4 linked regions of the Drosophila melanogaster genome follow. The gene in region 1 interacts genetically with each later gene. Each region holds a gene or a part of one and is shown on either strand. Other genes may lie near its edges.

Region 1 (5,197 bases):
TGGTCCAAATTCCACAAGTTCTGTCGGCATTTAAAAGAGTCGAATCGGTAACCCGATACTTTCCAAACAACAAAACTCGTAAACAGCCGAGCGAGCTAAGATTTCATAGGTGACCATCTACTATATCACCCAAACCATATACCATACCTCTTCCCACACACAAAAGCCATACACATATTTGTGCTTATCCACGTTGTGCATTTGTTTATAGTTAAATGACGTAACTTTTAATAAGGTTGACTGTTGCGATAGACACGTGTAAAACTAACCACAATGTAATATCTCCGATGTAGTTTTAAAATGGCGAAAATATAAAGTAAGCATTTAGTTTTAATATATACATTCGAAATACCTTTTTCCCAATATTATGCTTAAGAGCAATTGGCTTAGTAGAGTTGCAATATTTTTATATTCTAAGAAAAGGGTTAACCATAACAAAGGCACTGCTGAATAATTGAGGCCCTTTAAATAAGATGCTTTGTGGGACGCTACTCCTCGCTGTCGTATTATTTGTTTAGCATTTGCGGAATGTCTCTGGCCTCATAAGAAAATAATGTATTCAAACTCCTGCCGCCGTCCTTTCCGGAGTTAATACCCATGCCCCTCCACGGGGCAAGTCAGGGGCCCGACTCTCGCTTATTTAACGCTCACGACGCGATCAAATTCCTCCTGCCAACATCGCCGGTTGCCGGTTTCACTCCACAAGTGGCCTGTGTTCCCTGTTCCCGACCTATTATTATCGTAATGACGGGAGCCTATTTGCTTTTGTGTTTTCGAGTCGTCCAAACGAGAGACAATTATGTATTTCTACTGGAACTGACGAACCAGGGTTCCTGTTGGAGCGTCTGCTTGGCACTGTGAAAAATCTGGACGTGATCTTGTGTTCCTTACACGTTTAAGTAATACCGGTTTTAAATTACAATAAACTACAATAACTAAATTCGACGTTGCCACTGTATTGCACTGTACTGTATGTCATAGATGAACTAAAGGTAAACTTATATTTATTATTATTTAGAGAATTAGTTATAGTAATAACGACTGTAAAAAATTTTAGCATAGATAATTCCATCGACTTTTCTCGCAGTGCGGTATGCGATCCTCGCTGCGCGCTTTAAGTGTGTTTCTGTGTGTGTAGGGCCGCTGCAGGGGCGCCACTTTGTATGGGCGTGTGTGCGTCCGTGTGTTTGGCAGACATGGGCAAGGCAATGCAACTGATATGCCCTTGATCACAACCATTCATCACATTTTGCGGCAACCAAGACCGCGCTAAATGTCGATGTTGCTTCCTCAGGTTCTCCGCTCTCGACAGCATCGAGGGAGTTGAGTTTTTTGGCAACTTCAACAGACGTATTTAACAGGGGCTAATATGTACTGAGAGTTTTTAATTTGATTCGAATTAATTAAACCTTGTATGCCTTTTAAGCATTTACCTTTTAAGACATCTTAAATAAAATTTTAAGGTACATTAATCTTTTTTTAACTTAAATTATAAAATGCTCATACTGAACACGGCTTTTCAATTATAAACATATAGTTATAGATTTCTCCTATATTATAGGACAGCTTAGTATTTCCCACATAATTTGTCTAGGAAAACTTATCAATTTTTGAAATTACCGCGTTAGCCAACACTATTTCCAACGGCACTGCCAGCATGAAGCGAGTGTGGGTGTGCGTGCGCAGGTTGTATCTGTCCGCGGAAGCGAAACGAAACTCACCACGCCATAGTAGCCATCCAACGGATGCTCTCCACTCTCAGATGTCTTGGATTCTTTGGTTTAGCACTTGTAGTAGGAATGGGAATGTGAAAAATATGAAGATATTTTAACAAGTCTTTTCTAATTAATAATAAAACTGAAGTTCTTATACATTGTTAGAACGGGAACTTTATGTATGATTCTAATTTTACAATTTCTTGGTCTCTTAATTTTTCTCTCTCTCTCTAAACCTCCCTCTCCCAGGCGCTCTCTCAGGCGTTTCTCCCACGTTTATTCCCCACAGCTCCAAAGACTATCAATCCGCACAGTTAGCGCTTCGCTCATTGCCCCAACAATTTTCAACCGCGTCGCTTGTGTGTTCTTTTGCCGTTCGAGAAATCCAAATCCGAAAGATATCAACGAAAAGATGGATACTTGACGTATTGCCACGAGAAATTTTCCGAAATAACGTTATTTGTGTTCGAGACTGCTAAATGATTTTTGGGTTAATTAAATGACAAAAAAACGCAGTTCCTAAATATCGGACTTTTTCGCCTTTCCCCGACTCTTTTTTCGCAACATTTACGGGTTTTGTTTTTGTTGTTGTAAACGCGGGCGTCGTAAACAACAAACAAGTGCAGTGAAGTTGTTGTGCGCTCTAGAACTGAAATGTGAAGGAGGAAATACATAGAAAAAGTGTGAGTGCAGCAGGCAAATCAATTGAAGTGAGAATCGAAGGGGATTGGAAATCGTCAGGCGAAAATCTTTTATTTTTGCTGCTTGCTGTTATGAATTCTATGCATTTGTTTGTGTTTGTGTGTGCAAAGAAAGAGCGAGAATTCTCCGCCCGGATAACGGATCTTCGATCTCGTTTGCGTGCGTGTGTTTTGTGGTTGTGTTCGTGTGCGAATTAAAAATCAATGAGCATCGGGGGGAAAATGCGGGCCAAATAATAAGTGTGTTCAAGCTTTAACTGAGCAAATAACAGCAAGAAAAGAAATGCAATTGTTCGCCAGCCACGTACACACATTGTACCTGCACTGGCCCATACAAACAAACAAACGTATACGTATATAGCGGTGGTAGCGACGCCGGCAGAATCAAAGCAGAGCGCAAATCGCAAGCCAACAAAAAACACCTTTTCCACCACGTTAAAAATTGTTATTGTTTTCCGGCATTCGGCTACTTCAACATAATATTCAACCGAAATCAACACATTACTCGCACCTTATTAAATCCACACAAACGTACACATGCATAGGAAAAAGTGACTGACCAGCAGCAAAAAAAGAAAAAATCGACTGCGGTTACCAATCCAATAACAAAAACCCGTCGGCACGTGTTAAACAAATTCAAATTCGTTGCTAATAGTTTGTTTCTTCTGCAGTAAATGTAAATACAAATTATCAAGTGAACCTCTAAACATATCAAATACACCTACACATATCAAAAAGTAATACTACATAAGGAAAGGATTAAACGGAAACCACCTAACAAAAAATTTTAAACAGTAAGTACCTATTTCCACTCCTTAGAACTCAAAATCAAGCCGATTTGAAGAGGTGCACTCGTGATTATGCAAAATAGCTAAGTCAACAAACAAATGCTTATCACTCATTAGCGTTATTTAAGTTTTCATATTCAATATTTTCTGATGCGGTTTCGAAGATAATTTTATATTTTATATAATACCGAGTCGCGAATATCTGTTACCAAATCGCTATAGTTTCCAATTGGACTTACAATTACTCATGCTTTCATTATCAGAAAGTCCATAACTACGTATGTATATATAAATATACATATAAATTTGTAAACGTGAATTTGGAAAAAATAATCACTCAGCGGGTTTGAATAAAAATTCTTGAGTATAGACTGTTTTCAATTGATTGTTAAATGTGCGATATATGGCTTTTGAAGTGTTGATGTGCAATTTTTTTTTTTTGTATTGGACTTGCTCTAAATACTGAATTTTATGAACGTAAACAGCTCTCTCTATTGTTCACTGGATTACACATCTTTCATAGTTTTAAATGTGGAAGGGTTTTTGTTCCGGCTGACTCAAGATTGGTAAATATTTGAAAGCAAAAGTACGGTGGTATCAATTACTTTGCAATTTTGAAGCTAAAAACTGTGGTGCATACATCGCACATCATAAATAATTTTAGATGTATGTCCATATGTAAATAATTTATTTCTGTCGCTTTCGCATTGCATTTTTTATTATTGACAAATATTAATCGTGCAGTTATACGGTTTATGTGGAGGGAATGAAGGATCTTATAAATTGATTCCTATTATTAATTATGTTTCTGTTCTTGACAAAATAAGTAAAGTCCTAAGATTGGTCTCATAAGATAATGCTACTGTTTAAAACATACCTTTTTTTGTTTCCGATTGAAAAACTCAGATGCATTCTGATAAGTTCTAATTCAAAGCTAGACTTTAAGAACGCTAAGTTCTCGACTTGATGACTTTTCAGAAGAGTTTCGAGAGCGCCTTCAATTCTAATTCCCACCACACTCGCACTCTCTGGTGGTACGTACTCTTTTGAACCACGGCTGCGGTAGATTATTTCATACTCACCTCAACCTTAAATTGTTGATTCTTCAACTTGTCAAACCGGCTGACAAACCGACCGTCGCGTCGCTCGTCCCTGTCCGTGTGTCTGTCTAAGGTGAGCGTGTGTTGGTGTGGCGCCATTCCGACGACGCCTCTGCCGCCGACATCGTTACTATTATTTCTTTTATTACGTCAGTGGCGCCAGGCATTTCCCTCTCGCTCGCACGCCCGCCGCCCTGCCTTTTTTTTACTCTGCACGCAAGCATTCTGTATGTATGAGTGAGCGAGAGAGCGCGAGTGTGTTTGATGCGGTGTGTTGGTGTTGGTGAGCGTGCTTGTGGGGCTGACTCGTAATTTTGTTGCTGTTCGTCGCTGCTGTGCTGTTTTTTATGTTGTTGCCGTCATGCCGGCGGCGCCACTTTTGTCGTCGATAAGGAGCGCAAGAAATGCCAGCAACAAAATGGAAATAGTCGCATGGGCCACACACATACACAAACACAAGCGTATTTGGGCTGTTAATTTGCGGCGCTCTCCCGTTCGTTCCCCCTTACCAATCGTTCCCCCTTACCAATCGTTCCCCCCCACCATCGTCCGTCTCTTTCTCGCTGACAGCTGATGCTGCCGCACAGATCTTTGCATATGCACTGGCGTCGGCTGTCCGTTGGTGAAAGAGGGCGGGGAGGGGGTATTACTCACTCAAGCGATCCACCACTAGATTCCTTGCCTGCCACCAGGGGCGTAGTCTGGAAATCGAAAACGGGGAATGTAGCCTTTTTATAGGAAATGTGGCACATTCAAACAACACTACGCTCATTATTGATTTGATACATACATATGTATGTAAGTATGCACCTGCATATGTGCTCAGAGGGTTTAATAAAAAATAAAGCATTATGATTTTGGTATCTTTCAAATCAGATTCATCTACATACATA
Region 2 (7,872 bases), on another chromosome or scaffold:
ATTGAAATTATTTCAAATCAAGATGGAACTGAAAGCTATTTATTTGAAAGTAGTGTAGACCACCCACCACCGACTGGCAATTTTTTTCATTTTTGCGGAAAAGCGGTGGTGTCCCCGTGTTGACAGCTCAATTACTCACATGACACAAAGCCTCTGCGTGGCCCCCTGCAATTATCGCGGCAATTATTTGCAATTAGAATTGAGTTAATTTACTTAAAAAAGGATTTTCTGCCGTGCCTGCGCATTTTTGCCCCTTGACGTTTGCACTTCGGCACGTGTGTGTTTTGAGTTTTCCGCTTTTGTGCAATTTGCGTGCATAAATTTTTATTGTTCCAAAGGGACTACATAATTATTTTGTTATTTTTCGTCGTTTTCACTTCTGCTTTCGAGGAGAGTGCGCTTCATTACTATTTCGATTTTACTGCGACTGTATAATGCTACCCATGTTTGCAATAAGTTCGCGTTTAGTAGTGTTAAACACGCAATAAAAGCGAAGGGAGGGAGGAGCGATCGCACATAAACATGCTCGCATTCTAAGCACACGTACAGTCCGGGCCAAGAAAATAGGTTCGCTTGACTTCAATTCAAAAGATTTCGTAACGAAAAAACTTTAGTTTCGTTGCTTTACCCATTAAAAAAAATTGGCAGTGCATTTGCGAATAGAATTTCGATTTGTTTCCGCTTATTTTCGTACCGAAAACACTCTGCCGAAGGAGGGCTTCATCGAATTTTAGGTTCAATTACTCGCCGGTCCCACGCACGAAAAAATTCGTTGACGCTGCCTTCTCTTAAACTCCTCCCCTGAAACTACGTTCCCTTCATTTTTGTTGTGGTTGCGGTGGGGTGTTTACAGTTTGATTGTGGCTGTGGGTTGACGCCACCTCCAACACCACCAAAGGCCATGCACTGCAAACAAATTAGTGTGCATCTAAAAACAGCAATGTCTATTTAATTCGAAAAAGAGTTAAGTAAAAGAGTACTCAAATGTTAAATCTTAGTTCTTCAAGTAACATTGTTATTTGAAATACAAATGTTGCATATTTTTCTCGCCGTGTGATCTGCTGCACACAAACACGTTCGCGCTCACGTGCTGGCGCCCCCAACTGCAGATAGGGCATTTGATTTGTTTAAAACAAAACTTTCGTTGCCTGTATGGGTGTAGTGGTGTGCACTTGGCTGCCCCAAACGCACACTGAAACCAATTACGAGCACAGGAATACGAATACGAATACGTCACTCAGAGGTCTTCAGAAATCAGGGCTGCGGACTAGCTGGTGATAAAGAAGGGATTCAATAGGGATACATACACTAGATTTATACTCTCTTAGGGCTACAATAAGTACATTACTAAATAGATAAATATTAAGAAAATGGAATATAATAACTCAATTTTCCAGTCTTAAACTTATTAATAACTGTAGAAAGTAGTTTGTGTTACCTTTAGATACTTTAGGATGGACCTGCTGCTTCGCATCCCTGGCGAACTCACACCGATACACAATACGAATGCAGTTTGGGCTGCGTTCAGTTCGTCACTCACTCAGTCAGTCAGTTCGTCAGTCAGTCAGTCAGTCAGTCAGTCAATCAACACTCGGCGCACTCAGTTTGCTGGGCAACCCGTTCGGCATTCGTTGTCGATCGGTCGTGTCGTGCAGTTGACTTCTGATTCGCGCTCGCTGCCATTTCCACTTTGCGTAATTTACGGCGAAAATAAAAAATAATACGGCAAAAGGCTTAAATAAATGAAGTTATTACGGTGATAACGATTGAATTGAAGACTCGCAGCGGAAATGTAACTGCTGAGGCGACTGGATTGGATGCCCGATCGTCGTGGAGGGTCGCGTTTGCGATTTGCATACGAATAAAATAACATTTTGATGCTGAATTCTTGTCCGTGTGTGTGTGTGTGTTTGTGCGTGCAATAAAAATAAATAAAATAATATCTGCAATCTCAACATCATCATGTGTAGGTTCTTAGTTCGTACATAGTTCTCGTTTGCCTCGAGTTGCTCGATTTTTGAGTTTTCCTCCTCGCATCAAATCGAAACTTTGGCCTGTTTGGTTTTGGTCTTTATCGCGCTGCGTTTTTGTGTGTGCATTGTTTGTTTATTTTTAAACATGGGTCCAAGTCCCTATTTTCTCTGTCTGTTCGTTTTTTTCTTGTTGTTTTGTTGTTATTTTTGTGGCACTAGTCGTAGTACCCTTTACCACGCTTTTTGCCCGCTTTCAATGGCAGCGGAAGTGCTTCTGTACTTCTGTACTTGTGTACTTGCCATCCATCCACCTTGATTTCTACTTCTACCTGGCTCCCATGATTTACGCCTTATTGTCACTGCCGCATTTATGATTGATTATCGATTGGAATGGTATGATACGCATGCGCGAATGCGTGCCTGCCATAAAAGTGCCTCGATATCCTCGCTCCTCCGTTTCTCCAGTTGAGTTATGATCCCTGACTAGCGATGCACTGAAAAGAAACTCACAATGGAATCACTAACCAGAAGAATGTACACAGCCGATTTGAAATGCAATTCTTCAATTTAGTTACTCTAAATATAAGACTAAAAGTAGATTCACTTTAAACCAAGAACCATCAATTGAATTTGCTTTGAAAGCAATGAAGAACTTTCCTTCGAGTGTGGTTTTCTTGAAAGCAGAAAGAAGACTGGGCCACTTTGGGCGGGTACGTTGGGTACGTGATCTCAGCTCGGGTAATATGTAATTGCGAATTACGATTATTGATCTTTAATTGATATGGGGAATGTCCCATATGATAATGGATCATAAAGGACTTATTATATTTATATTTAGTATCGTTCAACTCGAGATGCATTGAGAGACAAAACAAGAAAATCGTTTAAGTGCCTAAAGAAAGCCACTTTGTTGTTTGGAAAACCATCAAATCTCCGAATAAACATCATAAATATGTTGAATATGTTGTTATGATCGTGTAAATAAAGTTTTTATGTAATTCCTGCGAATTAATGGGGTAGTTTCCCCTTTTGAAAACCGACTGATTATGTCGAAAACCTCACCTGCAATCGAGCTTTGCACAAACAAAACGGGGGCATTATCGAAATTTGTATGCCTGCCCCACTCAAATCAATCGAATTCCACTAGAGCACCATTGCCACCTAAAAACACACGACACTAGTCAGCTGGGTAAATACGTAGGGTAGAGTTCTCTATCTCCACTAACCCCCTCGATAAGTCTGTCCGCCAAGTGTCACTCCGTTTGTATCCTGAGTTACTGAGAAGGAGAGACCATGTGAACTGGTACTCCACTGTATGTTTAATTTTGGGATTAGTTATAAGCAAAGGTGTACCATTTTCGATAAGGTACCGATTGTTTGTTCGTAATCCTAATCTTTTGGAAGAGGTTTTTAAGCTAGTTTTGGTAATCAAAATGGTTGTGTGACTTATCATTAATTTCAATATATTCTTGTAGGCTAGTGATAAAGTTAGAGCATTCTTAGAGCAATATATCTACCGCCGGAGGCTCTGGTTGACTTTGGGCAATTAGAAAAGTGACTGCCCCCAACCACTGGTCCTCGTTGACCACGCCCCCTTCCATGGGCGACAACATAAAATTGTCAATGCTGCGAAAAAAAAAAGAAAACGGCAACGCCCCAAAATTTTTAGGCCCGAGTTGAGCGAGAAAATCGAAATTAATTCACGCAACGGCTAATTTGGCCAGAAATATGCGCCATTTGGTCTGTCGGGAGCCCAATCGAGAGGTGTTTTCTTGTTGTCCAAGTGCTGCACTTGTTGATTTATCGCCGGCATTTAATTGCTTTTGAAATTGGATTTACCAGCCCGTTTGCTTGCCACAAAAATGGGTGGTTCGCCTAGCAAGTTCGCCTTGTGTGGCTCGCCGATTTTTGCTCCAGCTTGCACAAATTAATTGCTACTACAAATTTTCATTCAATTAGGTTTTGTCACTTTTAAATTTAATCAAACATTTTTTGACACCTTGAGTAAAGCAACGAGATTGAGGCTAAGACAGCCAACTGGAGCGCAGCCACTTGGCCAACGGAGAGAAGTTCCTCAGAAATGCTGTTAACATTGAAATGTCATAATTCAAATGGAATTGTTGTCTTTGGTGGGGAAAAGTATGGAGGGGGGGGGGCGTAGAAAACAGGGGGGAATACCCACAATTGTGGCGCTGACAAGTCGAACACCATTTGGTTATCATTTGCGCTCATTATGAGATGCAGTTCTCGCCACTCGACTCGAATATTACTGCAGTACAGTGGAGCCTAACTAAATAGAATGAAGACAGTGGGTTTTTATTGCTATAGTTTAGTTTTTTCTGTTGATAAACCAATTTCTTAATGCCAATTTTCTAAGAATCGATAAGGCAGCCCGAAAACCAGCACATGAAACTATTATCTGTGCTTCATAAATTTACCTATTATTCATATATTTTTGCAGAATTGTTGTGTTCGAAAACTAATACTATTTATAACGTTGAAAAGTGCGAACTCTTTTCGTTCGCAACCTTTGTGGTTTTTTGGAATTCAAAGAACTGTCAGACCTCAAAAATACCCCCCTTACAATAGAATCGTTTCACAATTGACGTCAGCTGCGATTGAATACGAACAATAACCATATTTAATAGATAAAAATAAGTTTCCAACGAAATCGAGATTCGATTAATCAGCTAGTTGGTTAAGTGAAGCAATAATGGCCATTATTCTCAATGAGAAAATGTTGCAGGCAATTTGCATGCAATTGGCCGCCAACATTGAAAGTGGGAGGAGTCCGTTCATGACAGGAACCTCCCAACGACTTCATTCACTAGCCAGAAACACGATGCACTGCCAGGCCCCATGGATACTCACTCCTCCTCCAATTTCTGCTGGGCACTTGGCCAAGCGGGTAAAGACACTCGAAGAAAAAGGGTCACATAAGTTGCTGACTTCCCCTTTTGTTACGTATAAACATTTGCTTGAATTAGATGCAAAGTTTTCTATAACATTTCTCTCAGTGCATTCGAATTTTGCATGCGTTGTGTTGTGGGCGTTGCTGAGACAATCTAAGCTCGATGATGAATGCCTGCAATTCTATTTGTATTTATTATTTATATTTGCTTTTTACTTGCTCTTTTCACAGACTATCCGCCCGCTGATAGTTATACCGGTTATCGGGTGACTCCACCCCAAATCAACGGCGGCACCACCACCACCACCACCATCAGCAGCGGCAGCAGCAACAACAACAACATCCACCACATCAACAATAACAATAACCACATCTGCAGCAGTGGCAGCAGCAACAACCTCAATTTGACGACAGCAATCAGCGGCAGCAGCAACAGAATGGACACCGACGATGTGGAATCGAACACAAGCAGCGCGATGTCCACACTGGGCTCGCTATTCTCCTTCACATCGCCGGCGGTGAAGAAGCTGCTGGGCTGGAAACAGGGTGACGAAGAGGAGAAGTGGGCGGAGAAGGCCGTCGACAGTCTGGTGAAGAAGTTGAAGAAGCGCAAGGGCGCCATCGAGGAGCTGGAGCGTGCGCTCTCCTGTCCCGGTCAGCCCTCGAAGTGTGTCACCATTCCACGCTCGCTGGACGGACGATTACAGGTGGGTCACAAGCCACATGGCCAGCTAAGTAACAGATGATTATTAACTCCTATTTCCGAATATCAGGTCTCCCATCGCAAGGGTCTGCCGCATGTGATCTACTGCCGCGTGTGGCGCTGGCCAGATCTGCAGTCGCACCACGAACTGAAGCCACTCGAGCTGTGCCAGTATCCGTTCAGCGCCAAGCAGAAGGAGGTGTGCATCAATCCGTATCACTATAAGCGCGTGGAGAGTCCGGTGCTCCCGCCAGTACTCGTTCCTCGCCACTCGGAATTCGCGCCCGGTCACTCGATGCTGCAGTTCAACCATGTGGCCGAGCCCAGTATGCCGCACAATGTGAGCTACTCGAACAGTGGATTCAACTCGCACAGCTTGAGCACCAGCAACACATCGGTGGGCAGTCCGAGTTCCGTCAACTCCAATCCCAATTCGCCGTACGACAGCTTGGCGGGAACACCGCCACCCGCCTACAGTCCCTCGGAGGATGGCAACTCCAACAATCCGAACGACGGTGGCCAGCTGCTGGATGCTCAGATGGGCGATGTTGCCCAGGTTAGCTATTCGGAGCCCGCCTTCTGGGCGTCGATAGCCTACTACGAGCTAAATTGCCGCGTGGGCGAGGTGTTCCACTGCAACAACAACTCCGTGATCGTTGACGGTTTCACGAATCCTTCCAACAACTCGGACCGCTGCTGTCTCGGCCAGCTGAGCAACGTGAACAGGAATAGCACCATCGAGAACACACGCCGTCATATAGGTGAGTCGATTTTAGCACTTAAATTAACTTACTCACAGAGATTTCCCATCAGCAACTATCTTAAAGTGGTTAATAACTAAGATTACACATTGGTAATCTTAAATTAGAAAGCGACTTGTGTTTATCAGTTATAAAAATAGGCATTGAGTAGAGTAGAAAGCTATGGACTTCAAGAATCCAACTACCTGTCTTTTTAACTCAAAATGTTTCTTCTTCCCCAGGCAAGGGTGTTCATTTATACTATGTGACCGGCGAGGTCTACGCCGAATGCCTATCCGACTCCGCCATTTTCGTGCAGTCGCGCAACTGCAACTACCACCACGGATTCCATCCGAGCACCGTGTGCAAAATACCGCCGGGCTGCTCGCTGAAGATCTTCAACAATCAGGAATTTGCTCAGCTGCTGTCGCAGTCGGTGAACAATGGATTCGAGGCCGTCTACGAGCTGACAAAGATGTGCACGATCCGGATGTCGTTCGTGAAGGGCTGGGGTGCGGAGTATCATCGCCAGGATGTGACCTCGACGCCCTGTTGGATTGAAATCCATCTGCACGGGCCGCTCCAGTGGCTGGACAAGGTGCTCACCCAAATGGGCTCTCCGCATAATGCAATTAGTTCGGTATCCTAAGCTTAAGATGAGGCTCGAGTCCTCAATGGAGACGGAAGAGAAGGAACACAAAACCGGTAGCTAAATGATGAGTGCGTGTGAGTGAAAGCTAAGTGTGAAAAGACGTAGAGAACACAGGACAATGGAGAGAGCATAGGTCTGTAGGCCTGAGGATGGAGGTCCATGCCACTCAGTCGCAGATTTATATAGATGATGTACGGCAGCTACTCCAATACCCGCCCTTTGCCCATATTTTATAGTTTATCGTATGATTTTCTATGCGAATGTCATTCCTAACGCTAAAACAGAGTAATGAAAATGGACAGCGAGCTAAGAAACCAATTACAAAATGGTATAACTATTTACAATGATCTACATGCTATAATATTAATGATCTATGCCCATTGGCAAAACAGTTCTTGTTCAAGTCTATTTCAAGTGCTAATTATGTGTCATTGCAAAACTGCTTTAAATATAAAAACACATTGAATTAATCCTACCAACTTTAATTACATAAGGAACAAGTAACTTACGTAGGGATATGAAAACACTTATTGCAATACATTTCTTAAAATGATTTTGAAGAAGCCCTAGCTTATGTTTTATTTTTCTCATTTGCGGTTCGCCTTGGATCAACGAATTCAATGTTCAATATAGTTGATTTAAATATATATATGGTTTAACTAATTTTAAGTTGCAAACAAATCGAAAACATCAAACAAGAAAAGATACCAGCGAAATTTAAGAATGGAAAAATGCTACTGAATCAATACGTTTTCCCAGACAATGATCTTTTGTTATCTTAAGTAAAACTAATATTGTTTAGACCACGAGAAAATTGCCTTTTTATATAAATATACATGTATAACTTTACTCTAGTTATCGTAAGCTTATGATTTTCTCTGATTTTGTTTTGA
Region 3 (5,025 bases), 2.4 Mb from region 1:
TGTGTTTAGATATAATCCCATTGAACTTCTTCATCAATTTTATAATTTAGACTTCGAAAAAAAAATAAAAGAGATATTTTAGCAATTTAAAGAGCACTAAGTTAGTTTATTGGCATCAATAACTTGTTCCGCCACTCCTACTTCTTCCCGGCCTGAGCCTTCTTTTTGTTCGGCTTGGGCACCAGTTTCAGGCGGATCATTTCCTCGAGGAGCGTGGAGCCCAGGTGGCAGGGATTGGCGGTCATACGGACTCCCGCTTTCTCCAGGGCGGCCACCTTGTCCTTGGCCGCTCCCTTGCCACCGGAAATGATGGCGCCGGCGTGACCCATTCGACGACCCGGTGGAGCAGTCTGTCCAGCAATGAAGCCAACTACTGGCTTGGCCTCGCAGCCAGTGTTCTTCTCCTTAAGGAAATCGGCAGCCTCTTCCTCGGCGGATCCGCCAATCTCTCCAATCATGACAATGCCCTTGATCTCCTTGTCGGACAGAAACACTTTGAGGGCGTCTATGAAGCTAGTTCCGTTAAAGGGATCCCCGCCGAGGCCAACGCAAAGAGCCTGACCCAATCCCACGTTGGTGGTCTGATGGACGGACTCGTAGGTCAGGGTTCCCGACCGCGAGACTATGCCCACCACTCCTCGCTTGTGGATATCTCCCGGCATTATTCCGATTTTGCACTGATCCGGCGAGATGATTCCCGGACAGTTGGGTCCCAGCAGGCGGGACTTCTCCTGGCAATTCAGCATTTGCGATATCCGCACCATATCCGCCTGGGGAATACCCTCGGTGATGGCCACAATCAAGCCAATTTCACTCTCGATAGCCGCGCAAATACCCTCGGCGGCGGATGGAGGTGGTATAAAGATCACCGTGGCATCTGGCTTCGCCTTCTCCACAGCTTCTGCCACCGATTTGAATACGGGCTTGCCCAGATGCTCCGTACCTCCCTTTTTGGGATTCACACCGCCAACTATATTGGTTCCGTACTTTATGGACTCCTCCGAGTGGAAAGTGGCCTGCTTGCCGGTGAATCCCTGGACTAGAACCTTTGTTGCCTTGTTGATCTTCAGGTTGCACACCGTCTTGCCATAGTCCGCCTTGCCACGCCTCAAAATTTGGGGCGTTAACGCCCGCAGGAGCATCTTGCTTCCTCGATTTAGTGACATTTTGTGGGAATTAAGTCTTGGATTGCTGGTGGATTTGTTTTTGGGCCAAAAAATTAAACTTTTGGGGCCTGATTTAGAATGGAGTTCTTACCAAAACTGTTGACCGAATGTCAGGTTTCAACAGTCAAATTATCAGGGAGGTTTGGAAAAAGGCCTGCTGTGTTCTTAACAAATCCTTTTCTGGTAATTTACGTACATGCATGTTTAAGTGCATTTTCTTTTATACAACATTGAGGTCCTATAACTCCTAAACCTTGCTTTGTAACTTCATGTTATTAAATTTAAAGAGTTATTATCTGTTATAATATAAATTTGATAGTAACTTGTTAAAGTAAAAATGAAAACAAATTATCTACCCCACTGTGCCTGCGCTCAGCCCTTCAATTAATTCCGATTCGATTTTAATTGAAATCCAATAGAAACTCCTCTTTTATCTCGCTCTCACTCTCTGAGCGCGCGAAACAGCTGAACTGAAACGCCCGCTTTGGCCAGTTGGGCTGCAACCCGTTCCAATAAGATCATCGTTCAAAGAGAGCGAACAAGAATAGCTACGTTACGATCGCGTTTCAGATCGCTTTCTGACTTCGAAGCGTAAAGACTTAAAACGCGTCGGATAAACACCATGATGTTACTGGTTTTTTTCTGCGCGCCGTCGTTGTGAGCCGAGAAGAAAAAGTAACAAAAGAAGCAGCGCAGGAAAATCAAAATTGGCTGCAAGTGCGTGTCCCGAAAGTTTAATAACCAAGAAAAGTTTGTAAATTGAAAAAGGCACTTAAAGTGGTTACCTAAAATGAAAAGATAATGGGAAAGAGCAAAAAAAAAAGCTGACGCAAGTTCAAGGTGTAGAATTTGTGCGCGTGTGTGAGTGTGCCACAAGTTGTTTGAGCAAAAGTGGAGAAATAATATAAATTCCGAAGGAATTTCAACAGCAAGTGCTTGAAATCGCAATTGGTGTGCCAAACTTAAGGTTTTGCCTTGTCTTTAATCGAGTTTTTAGAGGTTTTAACTCTTTTTTTCCAACAAACACACACATTCACGCATTCTTGATTCTTTGACTCACAAATTACCCACGATAGCAACAACAAAAGTGTTGTCTGTTCCAATAGCCACACGTTCCATTTCTGGTTTTCGCTTTTAATGCCGCACTGTTTCGGACGTTTCCAGCGTTCCTCGTTAACCGGTGTTTGCTTTTTGATGAGCGTGAGAGCGGGGAAAGATAAAAAGAGAGAGAGAGAGACTAAGAAATTGATAAAGAAAATGGAAAAAAGTAAATAAAACAATCAAATTGGTAAACAACGCTGCTTGTTAAAATTAAAAATGGCAGGCAAACACAAAAACTCATTAAAAGCAGAGGAAAACCTAACGGTAGTTTCCTGACTCCCGCTCACTTCCTCTCTCTCGCTCATTCTCTTTGCCGTTGCGCATGCGCAAAACATATTTGTTTCTTGGTGGGAAAGTCAACACAAAGTCTAATAAGAAAACAAACATCACAGGTGTCACCTTTAATATTCGACATTCTGCAATTGTGATTTTAGGTCTTTGTAGAATTCTTGGCACACCTTCGATTTCTGGAAATTAACGCGAAATATTACGAAACGAAGCGGTAAACAAAACCAAATGGTGCGAAAGTGGTAAAAAAAAACGAAATGCGGCGATATCAGTTGTCTTACCACGAAGCATACATATCAATCAAACCGAAATAAATAACCCGAATTGTGTCCATGTGATTCAACGATTTTGTAATTCAATTCGATACGATACGACCTTGAAAAGCATAGGTTTTTATGTTGGTGATTTTAAATTTTATCGAAACGAAATCAATTCGCTACTGGGATTAAGCGAATCAAGGATTATACGACTATGGAACCCGGAATTTTAATTGGTAAGATTGTAGATCTTTATATGGGTTTTTAAAGAGAAAATCATTACTGACTTCAAGGCAGATGTTAAAATACAAGATGAGATAAGTCATATTTCTTGTTTGGAAAATCATTAAAAATTCGATCCAATAACAGATAAATCAATTTATATATACAATTTAATGTATGTAGTGTTCTTTCTCTTAAGTTTATTGGTAAATATTCTTAAAAATATTTTGCTTAGTTTGCTTTGTAGCATAAAATTAAGTCAAAAAGTCGTTCAAAAAGTATTCTGTATGCATTTATTCCCACACATGTTCGGAGCTAATTACAGAAAAAATCCACAGATCATCCAACTGCACTCCCTTCTCAAAACTTAACCCCATTGGGGGAAGAGCAATTATTTCGAGGGCTCAGAACTCGTGCCCCCATTTCACATATCTGAAATAATTTCCATGCTTTCTTCGCTCGCAGAAGCGACTTTAAAAACGGAGACAAACAGACGACCACATGTTGCTTGTAGTCACAGAAACATATGCAATCACTGGGAGAAATTTTTCTAATCTACAGAATATTAAAAAGTGTTAAAGAAAAGAAAATAATTATAATTAGAAAGTAAGTAAAGAAGATGAAAAATACATTTGCAATTGAGAAATTAAGCTAGTCAGACAATTTTTCGAAGCCACATTGTATCTCAAGAACAAAGCGATTTAAATTTCAAATCCTAATATAAATCGAACTGAGCTAATTTTTTCGCCCAGTGTCCTGGAACAACAAAGTGATGGCACACACCCCATTCAGAACCACAGATACAGATACATCGCTTTAACTCATTTGGTTAAGCATTTAATGATCGGGCAAATGCAGAGTCGGCCGAGTTCTGAGGGGACAGCTGGAAAATGCGAGTGAGGAGCAGAGGGTGTGGCCTGGTCTGTAGACGGCGGTTGCTAACGCTCCCAAGCCGAATGCTCTGCGTAACCCGCGCTCAGCTAATGAGCACCCAACCGCTGTGGAGGGGGGTTGGGTGGAAAATCGGGGGAGCGGGCTGCGAACGGGTGTAATTGAGACTCGGTTTAGACACCGAACCGCACCAATTTGTGCGAGAAATCTAATATGTGCGGGTTTCCATAAAACCCGGCGGCGAAAATGCCGAGGGTATATTGTATTTCTTATAAATATTAATAATATGAGTTTTAAAATTTGTAGACTTACAAAAACTTCAACGCAAATAAACGATCATTCGATTTTTATAAATAATATATAACTATTTCGACAATCTGTAGTTGATAAACCCCAAGCAAGGGTTTCGAATAAAATTGCTAAGTATTCTATTTCGTTTTTAGATTAAATGTAAAGTATTCAACAGTTTTCGAATTCCAAATTCGGGCTTGGATGGCATTAGGCGTATCCATGAGTGTCGCTGGTTTGTCTGCGGCTTAAAACCGGCAAAGCCACCAGTTCGGATCGAAATCCGCTCGACCAGCTGGGCTTGGAATGCGACAAAATGCGCATTTGCATTTGGCCACATGTGTCGGTTTTATTTGATATGTTTTTGTATTTGAGCTTAGTGGGATCTGGAGCACACATTACCAATACCAGTGCAGCCGGTCTTTTCAAGTAACACGGACACGGAGTCAAAAATGCGCACGCCCGTAAAAAATTACTCCAACTACAGCTCGCAATTTGTTATTCCCGCTATTTTGCTCTTTTTTTTTTTGGCTAATGGGTTTCCATTTGTTTATTGCTTGATTGGATTTTGTAGCTGAGTTGCGGGGAAAAAAGGCGTTTATCTGGTAGGTGCCATCTGTGGGGGAGTTTTGGGGTTTCAAAGTGGACCGAACAAGTTGTTTTGCAATTTTCAAGGCTAATTTAACAAACTATTACCTTTTATTACCTATTACCTTTACCACTTAACAAGCTACATAATAATCTCAATAATATATGATAAAATATCTAGAAACTATAAATAAGTAGAACATATGAAACCAAATTTTGACAGT
Region 4 (4,227 bases), 6.3 Mb from region 1:
TCTTATCTTAATTGGTTCACAGCTTAATTCATAGAAACAAAACAGTTTGCACAGCTTTCATTTTTGTTCCCCCTGGTAATTAGTTTAAGTAACTATTTAGCAGTATTTAACACTCCTATTTTGCAGCTCTTTGTAAGGCGCGTATGTACATACACTTCTTACCATTCTAAGCTGATTTAAATAATTTTATTAAGCTTTTAAGTAATCATTTCTTCTTTACCAATGCGTTTATTTCAGGTCACGTTCGCCACGTCGCTCCCGATCGCCCCGCAGCCGCAGCTTCTCGCGCGATCGTCGAAGTCGCTCGGATTCTCGGGATCGTCATTAATGTTTCCAAAAGGATATCGTTTAAGCAGTGTCGCATCAAAGAACAAGCCGGCCAAGGCCGTATTTTCTGTAGGAATTCCTATGTCGATTGCGATCCAAGTAAATTTACTTCAGATGACAATATAAATCTTTCGATGCATTCTTGAAATTCCTTTTTTTTTTTTACTAAAAAATAAAGACGCACAATCAGCGAGTTTTGATTGGTTTCATATATCATCAAAAACAGTTTGTTTCCAGCAAAAGGGGACGTGCTTAGTGCACTGTTTATTATGTGAGAATTGACGTGCTGCTGTACAACTTGCTTAGAAGTATGTTCGAATAATAATTTAAACAGGCGCACGAGTGTAAAATATTATGTATACTAACAAAGGTACACTTTAAACTTAGGAGAAGACGCAACACGAATTCGTTGCACATTTCGCACTGGAATAAACCTTACGTCTAGTCATTGTATGTATCCTCGCTGCAGGGCTCTGAGCCCCATCCCAAATGGCAGATCGGATTGGTTATGGCTGCCCCTAGCGCATGCGGTATGTGTTCGACTCCTGAATTTGAGACAATTCGCCCTTGAAATTAATGTCGATGACGAAGTCCAGGTCACGGTTGTTCCGCTCGTTGGGCTTCATCTGGAACGTGCCAGTGATCTCCTCGTTCTTCTTTGCCGTCATGTGGTCATCGAGGTAGAACACGGTTTGCTTCCAATGCGTGTATGTGGAGTCTGGTGACGTACTGAACCCAAGACGCTTGTGGCACTTGGTGAACTCTATATTAAAGTAGGTGACTAATGCCTGCACGAAGTCGTTGCGCTTGATGCATAGGCTGAACTTGGACGAGAAGTTAAGATCGGCCTTTTGCACGGTATACAGATCCACCTCCTTGACCATGCAAGATGTGGATACCACTTGCTTGGGATCGACCACGTCGACCAGTGGCTCGGTCACGGCCACCTTACGAATGCAGCTCATGTCGAAGCCGTAGACATCGTCCCACCAGTTGATCTTCTCGTCCTTGTACTGTCTGTCCTCGATGGCCGTGATATACAGCGTGCCCCTATCTGGGAACATCATGCCGTCCTTCTTCAGCCACTTGTCCCGAGCGTACAACACTGTATCCAGCATGGATTCGTAGAACAGGCAGTAACTAAATTAAGGAAAGAAATTAAAATGGTTAATATGCTAAATCAAATATGACCACTTTTTAAAAGCTTAACTACAAATGAAAACCTACCCCATCCACTCGGAAATAATAATGTCCACTCCCTCAATACCATTTGGAAGCTCAATCTCCTCAATCTTGCCCTTGACAACCGTGATTACATCCTGCAGATTGTTGTCAATGACCACTTGGCGGGCAAACTCAATGATGTTGGAGCAGTCGACGGCAATCACCTGAGCAGCACCGGCTTTGGCAGCGAACATGGAGAGAATGCCGGTACCGCAACCCACGTCCAGTACGGTCTGCAAAGAGGAGATACCCCGGTGAGAAGGGCTACGAAAAATGGGGAAACCCCGGAAGTTAACCCTACCTTGCCCTGAAACAGATGCTTGTTGTGGTACATGGCGTTGCGGTATGTGACGGTGCGCACTTCGTCCTTGAGCATCTCCTCGTGGATCCCGAAATGGGCATAGGAGTCAAAGTAATAGTCGCGGGACGTCATCTCGTCGGCGTTGGCATTGGGATTATCACCGGTGGAGCCCTCCGCGGGCAGCTTCTTCGCCACATTGTTTGAGTTCGCATTTGAATTGGGCGTGATGCCGGTCGCCGATTCCACAGCTGCCTCCATGGGAATGTCTGTGCTGGCCTGCGAATCGGGTTCGTCAGCTACTGGCCTGTCGATTGCCGTCACATTTTGACCAAAACTTACCATTTTCTAATTTCTTCGGCGTCTCTTTGGTTTTTCACGTCGAAAAATTGGCGACTAAATGATGGGACTGTTTCTACAGCACGCTAGTTTAAAAGGTCGCTTATCAACACTGCCCCCGCACAAAAGCTGGAAACAAATATCGCCAGCTCGATATTATTGGATTTTTCTGAAATTTTAGTATTTTTGAGCTGGGAAGAATTGGAGTCAGTTGTCTAAGGCATGTTCCATATAATCGAGTAAAATAATCTTTGTCATAACATCAATAAGATATAATAAATACGTTCATGGTTTATTAACTGCTGCAATGCTTGTTGTATTGGTCCTATTTCACTGCTAACAAAAATACATAAACTGGGAAACACGTTTCATCGATAGTTGTAAATAAGATCCGATAGTTTTACTGGTAAGTGCTCATCTCTAGCTACCGCTTGCCCGGTAATTTTGGCGGCAAAATATTCGCACATCGCATTTACTAAAAAACGAAATATAAAGCGAAGCAGAAGTAGCGTCTATTACCTCAGTTCTTCTTTTTAACTTTGTTTACCCTATCAAAATGGAAGGCTTCGACGATGCGGGTGTGTTCTTTTCGGACAATTTCGGCGGAGATAACCAGCAGGATGCGCAAATCAACTTGCAGGCGGTAAAGAAGAAGTACAAGGAGTTCATCCGGACATTTAACGAGGAGAACTTTTTCTACAAATACCGGTAAGTGAACTGCATCTCCTCATCTGAACCCCATTTAAGGTAATCCCCCTGCAGTGACACCCTGAAGAGGAACTATCTTAATGGTCGCTACTTCTTGGAGATTGAGATGGAGGATTTGGTGGGCTTCGATGAGACCTTGGCTGACAAGCTGAACAAGCAGCCGACGGAGCATTTGGAAATCTTCGAGGAGGCTGCCCGGGAGGTAGCCGACGAGATCACAGCTCCCCGGCCGGAGCACGAGGAACATATGCACGACATCCAGATTCTTCTGAGCTCCAATGCGAATCCCACCAACATACGACAGTTGAAGTCGGACTGCGTATCCAAGCTGGTTAAGATCGCCGGAATCATTGTCGCAGCCTCAGGAATAAGTGCCAAGGCTACGCGGATGTCTATCCAATGCCTGTCCTGCAGCACGGTCATACCGAATCTCAAAGTGAATCCAGGTTTGGAGGGCTACGCCCTACCCAGGAAGTGCAACACGGAGCAGGCGGGCAGACCCAAGTGCCCGCTGGACCCCTTCTTCATCATGCCGGACAAGTGCAAGTGCGTCGATTTCCAGACCCTTAAGTTGCAAGAGCTCCCCGACTTTGTGCCACAGGGTGAGATTCCCCGCCACTTGCAGCTCTTCTGCGATCGCTCGCTCTGTGAACGCGTGGTGCCCGGCAATCGCGTGCTTATCCAGGGCATATACTCCATTCGCAAGGTGGGCAAACCCTCGCGTCGGGATGGTCGCGAGAAAGCCGTCGTTGGAGTCCGTGCTCCTTACATGAGGGTGGTGGGCATCACCGTCGACTCAGAGGGTGCGGGTGCCATCTCCCGATACAGCAACATCACATCCGATGAGGAGGAGCACTTCCGGCGAATGGCCGCCTCTGGGGACATCTACGAACGTCTCTCACAGTCACTGGCGCCCAGCATCTTCGGCTCTCGGGATATCAAGAAAGCTATAACTTGTATGCTTTTTGGCGGGTCTCGTAAGCGTTTACCGGATGGTCTGTGCCGTCGAGGCGACATTAACGTCTTACTGCTGGGAGATCCTGGTACTGCCAAGTCACAGTTGTTAAAGTTTGTGGAGAAGGTGGCACCCATAGCAGTCTACACTTCGGGCAAAGGCTCCAGTGCGGCTGGTCTCACGGCTTCGGTTATGAAGGATCCTCAAACGGTGAGAAAAAACATTGCACACCTAATCCTTACAAATTAAATGATACATTAATCTTTAGCGTAACTTTGTCATGGAGGGTGGAGCCATGGTGCTGGCCGATGGAGGCGTGGTTTGTATTGATGAGTTCGACAAAATGCGAGAGGATGATCGTGTGGCCATTCACGAG

What was found.
Region 2: of Dad (region 1) and Mad, changing one suppresses a phenotype caused by changing the other (phenotypic suppression), as found in Drosophila melanogaster (one study listed by BioGRID).
Region 3: of Dad (region 1) and Dys, changing one suppresses a phenotype caused by changing the other (phenotypic suppression), as found in Drosophila melanogaster (one study listed by BioGRID).
Region 4: of Dad (region 1) and Art1, changing one suppresses a phenotype caused by changing the other (phenotypic suppression), as found in Drosophila melanogaster (one study listed by BioGRID).

What each region holds. Positions count from the first base shown.
Region 1 is NT_033777.3:17,051,965-17,057,161, forward strand, and holds the start of Dad (daughters against dpp), read left to right. Parts: upstream 1-2,042; 5' UTR 2,043-2,398; intron 2,399-2,932; exon of another isoform or gene 2,933-3,071; 5' UTR 3,072-3,210; intron 3,211-5,197.
Region 2 is NT_033779.5:3,146,523-3,154,394, reverse strand, and holds the start of Mad (mothers against dpp), read left to right. Parts: upstream 1-1,641; 5' UTR 1,642-1,962; coding exon 1,963-1,966; intron 1,967-5,115; coding exon 5,116-5,591; intron 5,592-5,657; coding exon 5,658-6,348; intron 6,349-6,569; coding exon 6,570-6,976; 3' UTR 6,977-7,872.
Region 3 is NT_033777.3:19,461,799-19,466,823, forward strand, and holds the start of Dys (dystrophin), read left to right. Parts: upstream 1-1,734; 5' UTR 1,735-1,841; exon of another isoform or gene 1,842-1,883; intron 1,884-2,701; 5' UTR 2,702-3,026; coding exon 3,027-3,048; intron 3,049-5,025. Other genes in the region: Scsalpha2 (Succinyl-coenzyme A synthetase alpha subunit 2), read right to left, coding at 138-1,166.
Region 4 is NT_033777.3:10,785,921-10,790,147, forward strand, and holds Art1 (arginine methyltransferase 1), read right to left. Parts: upstream 2,307-4,227; 5' UTR 2,195-2,306; coding exon 2,192-2,194; intron 2,129-2,191; coding exon 1,853-2,128; intron 1,785-1,852; coding exon 1,555-1,784; intron 1,468-1,554; coding exon 846-1,467; 3' UTR 561-845; downstream 1-560. Other genes in the region: Mcm5 (minichromosome maintenance 5), read left to right, coding at 2,745-2,896, 2,951-4,061, 4,120-4,227.